Linked DNA regions of Sus scrofa. The protein of the gene in region 1 purifies or fractionates together with the protein of each later gene. This does not show direct contact. Links are inferred from orthologs where the notes say so. Each region holds a gene or a part of one and is shown in the gene's direction. Other genes may lie near its edges.

Region 1 (4,536 bases):
AGAAAAGCACGTCAGCGTCGGGATGGTTTGGGCCTGATTACCCGATTATTCACTAGTGCTCCTTCCTAGTCTCCGCGTCTAACCCCAAGTGCCCGTGCTTCTTCCCGAAAAGCAGCCAGAAGAACACTCAGGTGCGTTCCGGCAAGGCCCGGATCGGATCGGTCGCCAAAGGCCTTGTCAGGCCCCTCGGGTTTCACAAGTGGTGGCCCTTGGCCCCAAGAACGGAAGTTGGAAACAAAGTGCACCGGTACAGGGCGGGCCGGGGTTGAGAAGAGATAGTTTGCTTCATGCTGGGAAAGCGGAAACATTCCCCGCATTGAACCCAGGCGTCTGCCTGACAGAAACGCTCTCCCCGCCTGATGCCTGATGCCCAGAGAGCTGCACAGGCGCGCGCCCCGGGGCCCAGAGCTCCCTCTCGGCGGAGCTAGCGGCGGAGGCAGGAGCTGGACCGGCCCGACAGCAACAGGCAGCGTGGCCTGTGGGGCTGGAGGCTGGACTAACAGGTTCGAGGCTGATTTCTACCCCTCACCCCCGCCGGATAACGAGTGCCTGCGACTGTCACAGCTCTGGAGTCCAAAGGGCCAGGGGCCCAGGGCTCGGGCGCCTGTGGGATTTCAGAAAGAAGCAAGGATCCCAGGTGGGGGACCCTGCGCCCATCTTCCCTGCGGCGCGGAGAAGCCGCGCGACCCTGGGCAGCCACTTGAGGCCCGCCTCCGCCTCTGTCACCTGCAGAGCAGGAGGGGCCTCGCGTGGGGCCGGCCTGGCACTGGGGAGACACAGACCCGATTCAGCCGGTCTCGGGCCCAACCCTCCCCCGCTCCCCCGCCCCCTCCCCGACTCCCCGCGCCGCCCTCGGGCCTTCCGGGGTGGATGGAAGTTTGAGGCCCGCGTGCCTGCGCCCCGGACGGACCCGGTGCCAGGCGCCGGCTCCCCGCCCTCCGGGCCCCAGGTGTCTGGCGCGCATCCCCGCCCGGGAGGCGGAAGCAACAGGAAGCCGTTCCCCGCCCGCGGGCCCCCCGCCCTCCGCCCTCCGCCCCAGGGCCCCGGGCGCCCGGGCTGCGGGGGCGGGCCTCGGGGAGGGCCGGGCGCGCGGGCCGGAGTCTGCGAGGGCGCGGGAGCGGGGCGGGGGCCGGGCGGCGGGGCGCATGCTCACTCGCGCTCGTGACGTGCGCGCCGGGACCGGGGCCGGAGGCCGGGCTGAGAGGGGCGGCGGGCGGAGGCCGGGAGGAGAGCAGAGCGGAGAGCGGAGCGCAGGAGAGCAGAGGAGCCGGAGCGCGGAGCCGAGCAGCGGCGGGATCGGCCGGCCGCCGCGCGCCCAGCCGCAGCCCCATCGCCCCAGCCGCGGCGCGCGGGCTCCGGCCACCGAGCGGCCGCCCGCCGAGCGGCCACCCCTCGCCGGCCGCCGCGGGCCGGGCCGGGCATGAGCGCGGAGGGGCCGCGGCCGCCCCCCGCACCGCCCGGCGCGCCCAGGCCGTGACCGGGGCGGGGCGCGCGGCCGCACTCGGGCCCGGGCCCATGGGCGCGCCGAGCCGGGCTTGGGGGCGCTGAGCGGGCGGGCGCGGCCGGAGGAGCCATGGACTGCAGCCTCGTGCGGACGCTCGTGCACAGATACGTGAGTGCTGCCCGCGCGGGGTTGGGGCCGGGGCCGGGCCGGGCCGGGGCCGGGCGGGACGGGTCCTCCGCCCCCGACCCTGCTGCGGCCTCCCGCCCGGGGTCGCTGAGGGCTCGGGCGGCCTCGCGGGGGTCACCGCGCCCGGGGACGGCGGGACGCGGGAGGACCTGCGGAGTCGGCACCTCGGGCCCCGACGGCGCGGGCGCCCTCCCGCCGGCTCCCGGGCCGCGTGCCTCCCCGGAGCCGGGCCGGGGGCTGTCCCGGCGAGTCCGGGCCCGGGCTGGGGAGGAATGCTTGATGCTGCCGAGTGGGCACCCGGATTAAGGGACTGGAAGAGAGACCCGATACAGGGAAAGGCGGTGGCTTTGCTCGTTTTGTCACAGCGATGGGGGATTCGGAAGTGAAGTTTGGGACATTTTTTGCCCGAAAGTAACCAATCAGATCCAGGGCCCGGGTGTTCGGAGTTCCTCGGAATCCTCGCTCCGGGTGATCCTTGGCGAGGTCGGGTAGGGTGGAGGCGTGGAGGGAAAGTTGGTTTTGACTCACATCAGACCAAGGGGGACTGCGTGGGGCAGCGACGCTGGCATCAGATGTGTGGGGGGGGGGGGGGCGCAGGAGAAGGAAAGCGTCCGTGTCTTTAACAAAGGGCCCCTCCGTCCCCGCGCGGACCGCCGTCGGGCACAGGTTGGGGAAGCCGCGCCCACCGAGGTTTCCGCTGGAAGAGGGCACGGTTATGGGAGCTTGGCTTTTTCTGGCTTAGGAACGCCTCAAACTGGTCTCCCATATTGATGAGCTTTCTTTGAGAAAGAGACCTTGGCCAGAGAGAAGGCGTTTCTGTTCAGCCCTGGGAACTTGAATCAAAGTTCTCCCCAGCGAGTCCACTCTCCAGCCAGACGCCAGGAGCTTGTGGCACCTTCTCGGAGCTCCCTTGGGAAGGACAGCCTGTTGCAGTTGGGGGAGCGAACTCCTCTCTGATTCTGGGAAGGGGTGGGAAGGCTGCCTGCAGGAAAGGTGTCCCCATGGACTCTTGAGTCCATATTACAATGTAGTGTAGACAGCAGGTGCCACCCTGGTGCCTCTAGAGGAACACATTCTGGAAAACCCAGCCGCAGTAGGTAACGGGATGTGTATGAGACATGTTTGGTCCCAGGGGTGTTCTCAGCGGTTTGGCTGGAGGGTGGGACCAGCGTTCCCCTAGGCTGTGCTTGCTAGTGTAATTTCTCTTCTCTTCCAACGCTTGGGGATGAAAAGGCGAGTTGAGCCGTGAGCGGCAATGCGGAGGGCCGGGTGGACCTCCTCGACCCTCCCAGACCCCGTCCCCCCTGGGGGTGGGCCAGACACACTGCCCATTGCGGTGCTTTGACTCCCTTACCCCCTCCAGACCAGCAGCCGCCCGTGCTGCACCAATCCGCAGAAACGTCAGTGTGCCTTACACTTTAAAATGCCCCTTTAGGAGTTCCCCTGTGGTGCGGCAGAAACAAATCTGATGAGGAACCATCAGGTTGTGGGTTTGATCCCAGGCCTTGCTCTGGGTTAAGGATCTGGCGTTTGCCATGAGCTGTGGTGTAGGTTGCAGACGCGGCTCGGATCCTGCATGGCTGTGGCTCTGGTGTAGGCTGGCGGCTCCAGCTCCGATGAGACCCCTAGCCTGGGAACCTCCATATGCCATGGGAAGCGGCCCTAGAAAAGGCAAAAAGACAAAAAATAAAATAAAATAAAATGCCCCTTTAGGAGTTGCCCTGTGGTGCAGCAGAAACCAATCTGATGAGGAACCATGAGGTTGCGGGTTCGATCCCTGGCCTCGATCAGTGGGTTGAGGATCTGGCGTTGCCATGAGCTGTGGTGTAGATCGCAGATGCGGCTCGGATCCCACCTTGGTGTGGCTGCGGTGTAGGCCGGCAGCTGTAGCTCCGATTATAGACCCCTAGCCTGGGAACCTCCATATGCCTTGGGTGAAGCCCTTAAAAAAAAAAAAAAAAAAAAAAAAAGGCAAAATAAAATAAAATGCCCCTTTGCTATGACATTAGACACATGAAATCAAATACTCTTTCAAACCTAACTGATAACTATTCTTTGGTGAACTTTACCAGTGTGTGAGTTATTCGGTGACGCCTCTAGAATCCAGTTACGGGATTATTTCTGTTTTTCTCCTTCCATATCTTTTTTTTTAAAAGCAATCTGATCATATGGCTGCTTCGCCATATGCGCAGGCAAAACCACTCATTTCTATATTAACTCATGTCTACACTGTCAAACTAATTGCACTTTTTCTAGAAACAGTTGTCTGTTTTCTTATAATTTGATTATCTTTCTTTAGGTAGGAATTAATTATATATCCTTTTGCTATGGGGGAAAAAAGACAGGGATCGACTGTTTATATTTTCTTGTGGTTTCTTCTTCTTTTATAAAAGTGAATAAATTTTAGAATGGATGGACAGTAAGGTCCTGCTGTCCAGCACAGGGACCTATATCCAACCTCCGGGGATGGACCATGATGGGAGATAATATGTGTTAAAAGAGATTGTATATATGTGCATGACTGGGTCACTTTGCTGTACAGCAGAATTGGCACAACGTTCTAAATCAACTGTGCTTTAATAAAAATTTAAAAAATAAACATCTTCAGGAGTTTTCCTCATGGCTCATCGGAAGCGAATCCGACCAGTGTCTGTAGGATGTGGGTTCAATCCCTGGCCTCGCTGAGTGGGTCCAGGGTCCGGTGTTGCCGTGAGCTGTGGTGTAGGTTGTAGACGAGGCTTGGATCTGGCGTCGCCCTGGCTTTGGTGTAGGCGGGCAGCTGTAGCTCAGTTTGCTCCCTAGCCTGGGAACCTCCATATGCTGTGGGCGTGGCCCCCCCCAAAAGCAACAAAAATAAATAAAAGGAAATAAACTTTTTTCCTGTTTTAAAAAAACATGAATAAAAT
Region 2 (3,806 bases), on another chromosome or scaffold:
TACAAAAGACTTCTTAAAGACCTGAAAAGACATTTTTCCAGAAAAGACATACAGGTGAACAACAGGCAAATGAAAGATGCTCAACATCACCAATCATCACGAAAAATGCAAATCAAAACCAATGAGATATCACTTCACATCTTTAAGAATGACTATCATCAAAAAGACCACAAATAACAAGTGTTGGCAAGGATATGAAGAAAAGGGGACACCTGTGCACTGTTAATGGAATTGTAAATTGGTGAACCCACTTTGGAAAGCAGTATGGAGGTTTCTCAAAACATTAAAAGTAGGACCACCATATATATATGATCAAGGAATTTCACTTCTGGATATATATCCAAAGAAAATGAAATAACTATCTTGAAGACATATATCTATACCTCCATGTTCATGATAACATTATTTATAACAAAGACATGGAAGCAACCTAAGTGTCCATCAATAGATAAATGGATAAAGAAGAGGAGTACACACACACACAGGATGGACTACTACTCAGCTATTAAAAAGGAATGAAATTTTGCCACTTGCAACAATATGGACTTGGAGGGTATCTTACTAAATATGTTAGAGAATGACAAATACTGTATAACATCACTTATATGTGGAATCTAAAACATAAAACTAGTGCATATAACAAAAAAGCAGACTCGCAGATATAGAGAACTAGTAGTTATCAGTGGGTGAGGGACAAGGTAGCCGTAGGTGATTAAAAGGTACAAACTACTATGTGTAAAATTAGCTACAGGACTATATTGCACAGCACAGGGAATATACCTAACATTTTCTAAATATAAACATAACCTTTAAAAATTGTGATTCGCTATGTAGTATACCCGAAACATACAATGTTATACTCGGAACTATAGCGGGGGCAGGAGGGGGAAGAGAGCTCTTGGGAGTTCTCTGGTGGCTCAGAAGATTAAGGATCCTGACTTGTCACTGCTGTGGGCTGGGTTTGATTCCTAGCCGAAAAACTTCCATCTGCCGCTAGAATGGCCAACCTCCCCCCGCCCCCCTCAAAAAAAACCAAACAAAAACAACCTCTTAAATCAACGTGCAAAAGATAAGCGTGGACACAAAAAGGCTGGTACACAGTAACCTGGCGACCATTAATAGTAAAGAAATAAGTGAGAACAGCTCAACTGAGGGCAAGCGAACAGGGTTAACCCAGTGACATGATTTACTCTTGAGGACTAAAGGTTAATCCATCATACATCCCATTTAACACTTATTTGCACCTTGAGCGGAGGGTTATTTTTTTAATTGGAGAAAGTCGCGGTTTTCCACCTCAAGCCAATACTGCCACTCGCACGAGGCTCAGGCTCCCTCGGTGGGGTCTTTTCAATGCCCCGACCCCCCGATGGAGAAGGCTTCGAGGTCTGCGCCCAAGCCCAGTCTCCTGGGCTGACCGGCTGGCCCCGCCCGGGGTCGGACCTGACCAAGGCGGCGGCCGTCATGACGTCCACCCGGCAGCAGAGATGCGCGAATAGAAGCTCTCGCGAGGCAGCGAGGACGCGCCTGTGGGGCAAGCGCCGAGGCCACCCGCTCCCTGCGCTCGCCCCAGCGCCGCGCATGCGCCAACGTAGTCTCACGCTCTGCGGTCGAGGCCCTCACTTTGTCGTCACAGGGCAGATGGTCCGGGTGCGTCGGCCTTTTCCCTCCCCCCTTCCATCCTCCTTCCCTTCCCCCTCCCCTTGTCCCTCAGTCTTCTTCCCCAGTCCTGTCTCCCTCCCGGCGGCGTACCCGGTCGACGCCCGCTTCCGGTCAGAGGCAGTCTGCGGAAGGGTGTCCCGCCTCTTCCGCCTTCGCAGCGGAGGTGGCGGCGGCGCCTGCGCGTCTCGGGTTGGGGTTGGCAGGCGGGTCCCCTGGGCGGTCCACCTGCGCGTCGCGGGGCCGCGCCCTGGGGGTCGATGGCGATGAACTATAACGCGAAGGACGAGGTGGACGGCGGGCCCCCGTGTGCCGCGGGGGGCACCGCTAAGAACCGGAGGCCGGATAACACGGCCTTCAAGCAGCAACGGCTGCCAGCCTGGCAGCCCATCCTTACGGCCGGCACGGTGCTGCCCACCTTTTTCATCATTGGCCTCATCTTCATCCCTATCGGCATCGGGATCTTTGTCACCTCCAACAACATCCGCGAGATCGAGGTGAGCGGGGGAGGGCGCGGCCAAAGGCAGGCGCCTCTCCCTCTCTGACCCGGGGCTCTCCCCCCGGGGCCGCCGCCTCCCCGGTTTTCTCCTTTCGCGCTTTTGCCCGCGCTTGCTCCACTGTTTACCCGGTTGGAGAGAGTGAGTGTGTAGTGCAGGGTGTGGGTCCGGGGAAGAACGCCCCTTTCATGGGCGGTTGGTGTGGTTTTTACCTCCAGCCGAGACGAAAAAAAGAGAAGTTAGAGGGAGATAAAGCCCCAGGAGGATTGGCACGGTCAGAGTATCATTACCTGTGCGGGAATTATCCCTAGACGCAGAGCCTTTACTTAGCCCAGGACCTTGGCTTTTGCCTTGGGAAGGTCCAGGGTCAAAGAGTCATTGCCGAATTTATGTACAGAAGTCGTGTTACCAGATCACGTGTTAGGGTCTATGGCCGAAGTGTGTACAGTACCTTTAATTTTGATCTAATAGATGCTTTTAGTTGTAGGGCATGATACCGGTAAAAGGTAATCCGAAATTTCAGTTCGGATTTTGCTTTTAGGCTACGTTGATTAATAACCTTGCCTTACATTCGCCCTAGTTCCCCACCCCCGCCCTTAGATTTTAAGCTTAAAAAAGAAAAAAATCAATGACCACATACAGAATAACTTGTGAGGTGTCGACTGAACATTTTACAGACATAAGACATGATAAACTTGGGGAAGCATCTTGTGTCAGAGAAAGTCATCTTTATCCCTTTGCAAGGAACATAGGTTGATACAGAATGTTGGTACTTTGGTGTCCGGCATTAAACATCTGCTCATTATCTTTTTTTGAATATCTGAGAGTATTTTTATCTGCTTGAAAGGGGAAGAACTGCTACAAAGATCTCTTGATTTCTTCTGTTCTATCAGATTATGTCTTTTACCCTCTAATTCATTAACTACTTTAAAATTTATGCATGCTATTTAATAGGGCTTTCAGAGCAATTTTATTTCGGCTACAGGAATAGGCATACTTTCCAGTTTAATTTACAAGGTTACCTGTAAAAGCAAAATCATTATATTTTTTAAATTGTACAGTGCTCATTGCTGTGTTAATAGAAATAAGAATAGTATTTACAGGATAGTTTTTAAATCTTTTCCTAAAAAAATTCTTTCCGTTTAATAACTAGAGAAAGCATCACATTGGTTTTTTCAGCATGTATTTTTGTTTTATCTTTTTTATTTCCTCAGTAGTCTTTCACATGTAGTACTTTCTGTTCTCCCAACCATGCAGGACCACACGTACCAGAATGTGAGCAGAGTGGTGTAATGCAAGGAGGGTGGGCTCTAGGCAGGAGTCAGACAGAGATGGGTTTAAATTCTAGCTCAGCCACTTACTAGCTCAGTTTCTTGGAAAACCTGGTCTCTTTGAGCCTCAGTTTCCTCACCTGTAAAATAAGTAAATAATGCCTATCTTGTGAAATGTAAAAATTAGAAACAATACAGATAATATTCCTGGCACTACGTTTGTACAGTAGTTATTTTTATTCAGGAAATGAGAAATGAAGTCAGAGGGGTTGATACTTATTAGTAAACTAGAAGAATATTGTAAAATTGAGACAGAAACCAGACCTAGTTGTCTTGATTTCCAGTCTTAGGCTTTCACACTATGCTAAGATTCTTATTGCAG

The links.
Region 2: the proteins of ATP11A (region 1) and TMEM30A purify together in Homo sapiens (co-immunoprecipitation; 4 studies listed by BioGRID and IntAct, with this or other methods). This does not show direct contact. The link is inferred for Sus scrofa from reciprocal best matches to the Homo sapiens genes ATP11A and TMEM30A.

Annotation. Positions count from the first base shown.
Region 1 is NC_010453.5:78,292,250-78,296,785, forward strand, and holds the start of ATP11A (probable phospholipid-transporting ATPase IH), read left to right. Parts: upstream 1-1,464; 5' UTR 1,465-1,573; coding exon 1,574-1,612; intron 1,613-4,536. UniProt on the Homo sapiens protein: Catalytic component of a P4-ATPase flippase complex which catalyzes the hydrolysis of ATP coupled to the transport of aminophospholipids, phosphatidylserines (PS) and phosphatidylethanolamines (PE), from the outer to the inner leaflet of the plasma membrane.
Region 2 is NC_010443.5:90,649,107-90,652,912, forward strand, and holds part of TMEM30A (cell cycle control protein 50A), read left to right. Parts: 5' UTR 1-1,350; coding exon 1,351-1,647; exon of another isoform or gene 1,648-1,916; coding exon of another isoform or gene 1,917-2,153; intron 2,154-3,806. UniProt on the Homo sapiens protein: Accessory component of a P4-ATPase flippase complex which catalyzes the hydrolysis of ATP coupled to the transport of aminophospholipids from the outer to the inner leaflet of various membranes and ensures the maintenance of asymmetric distribution of phospholipids.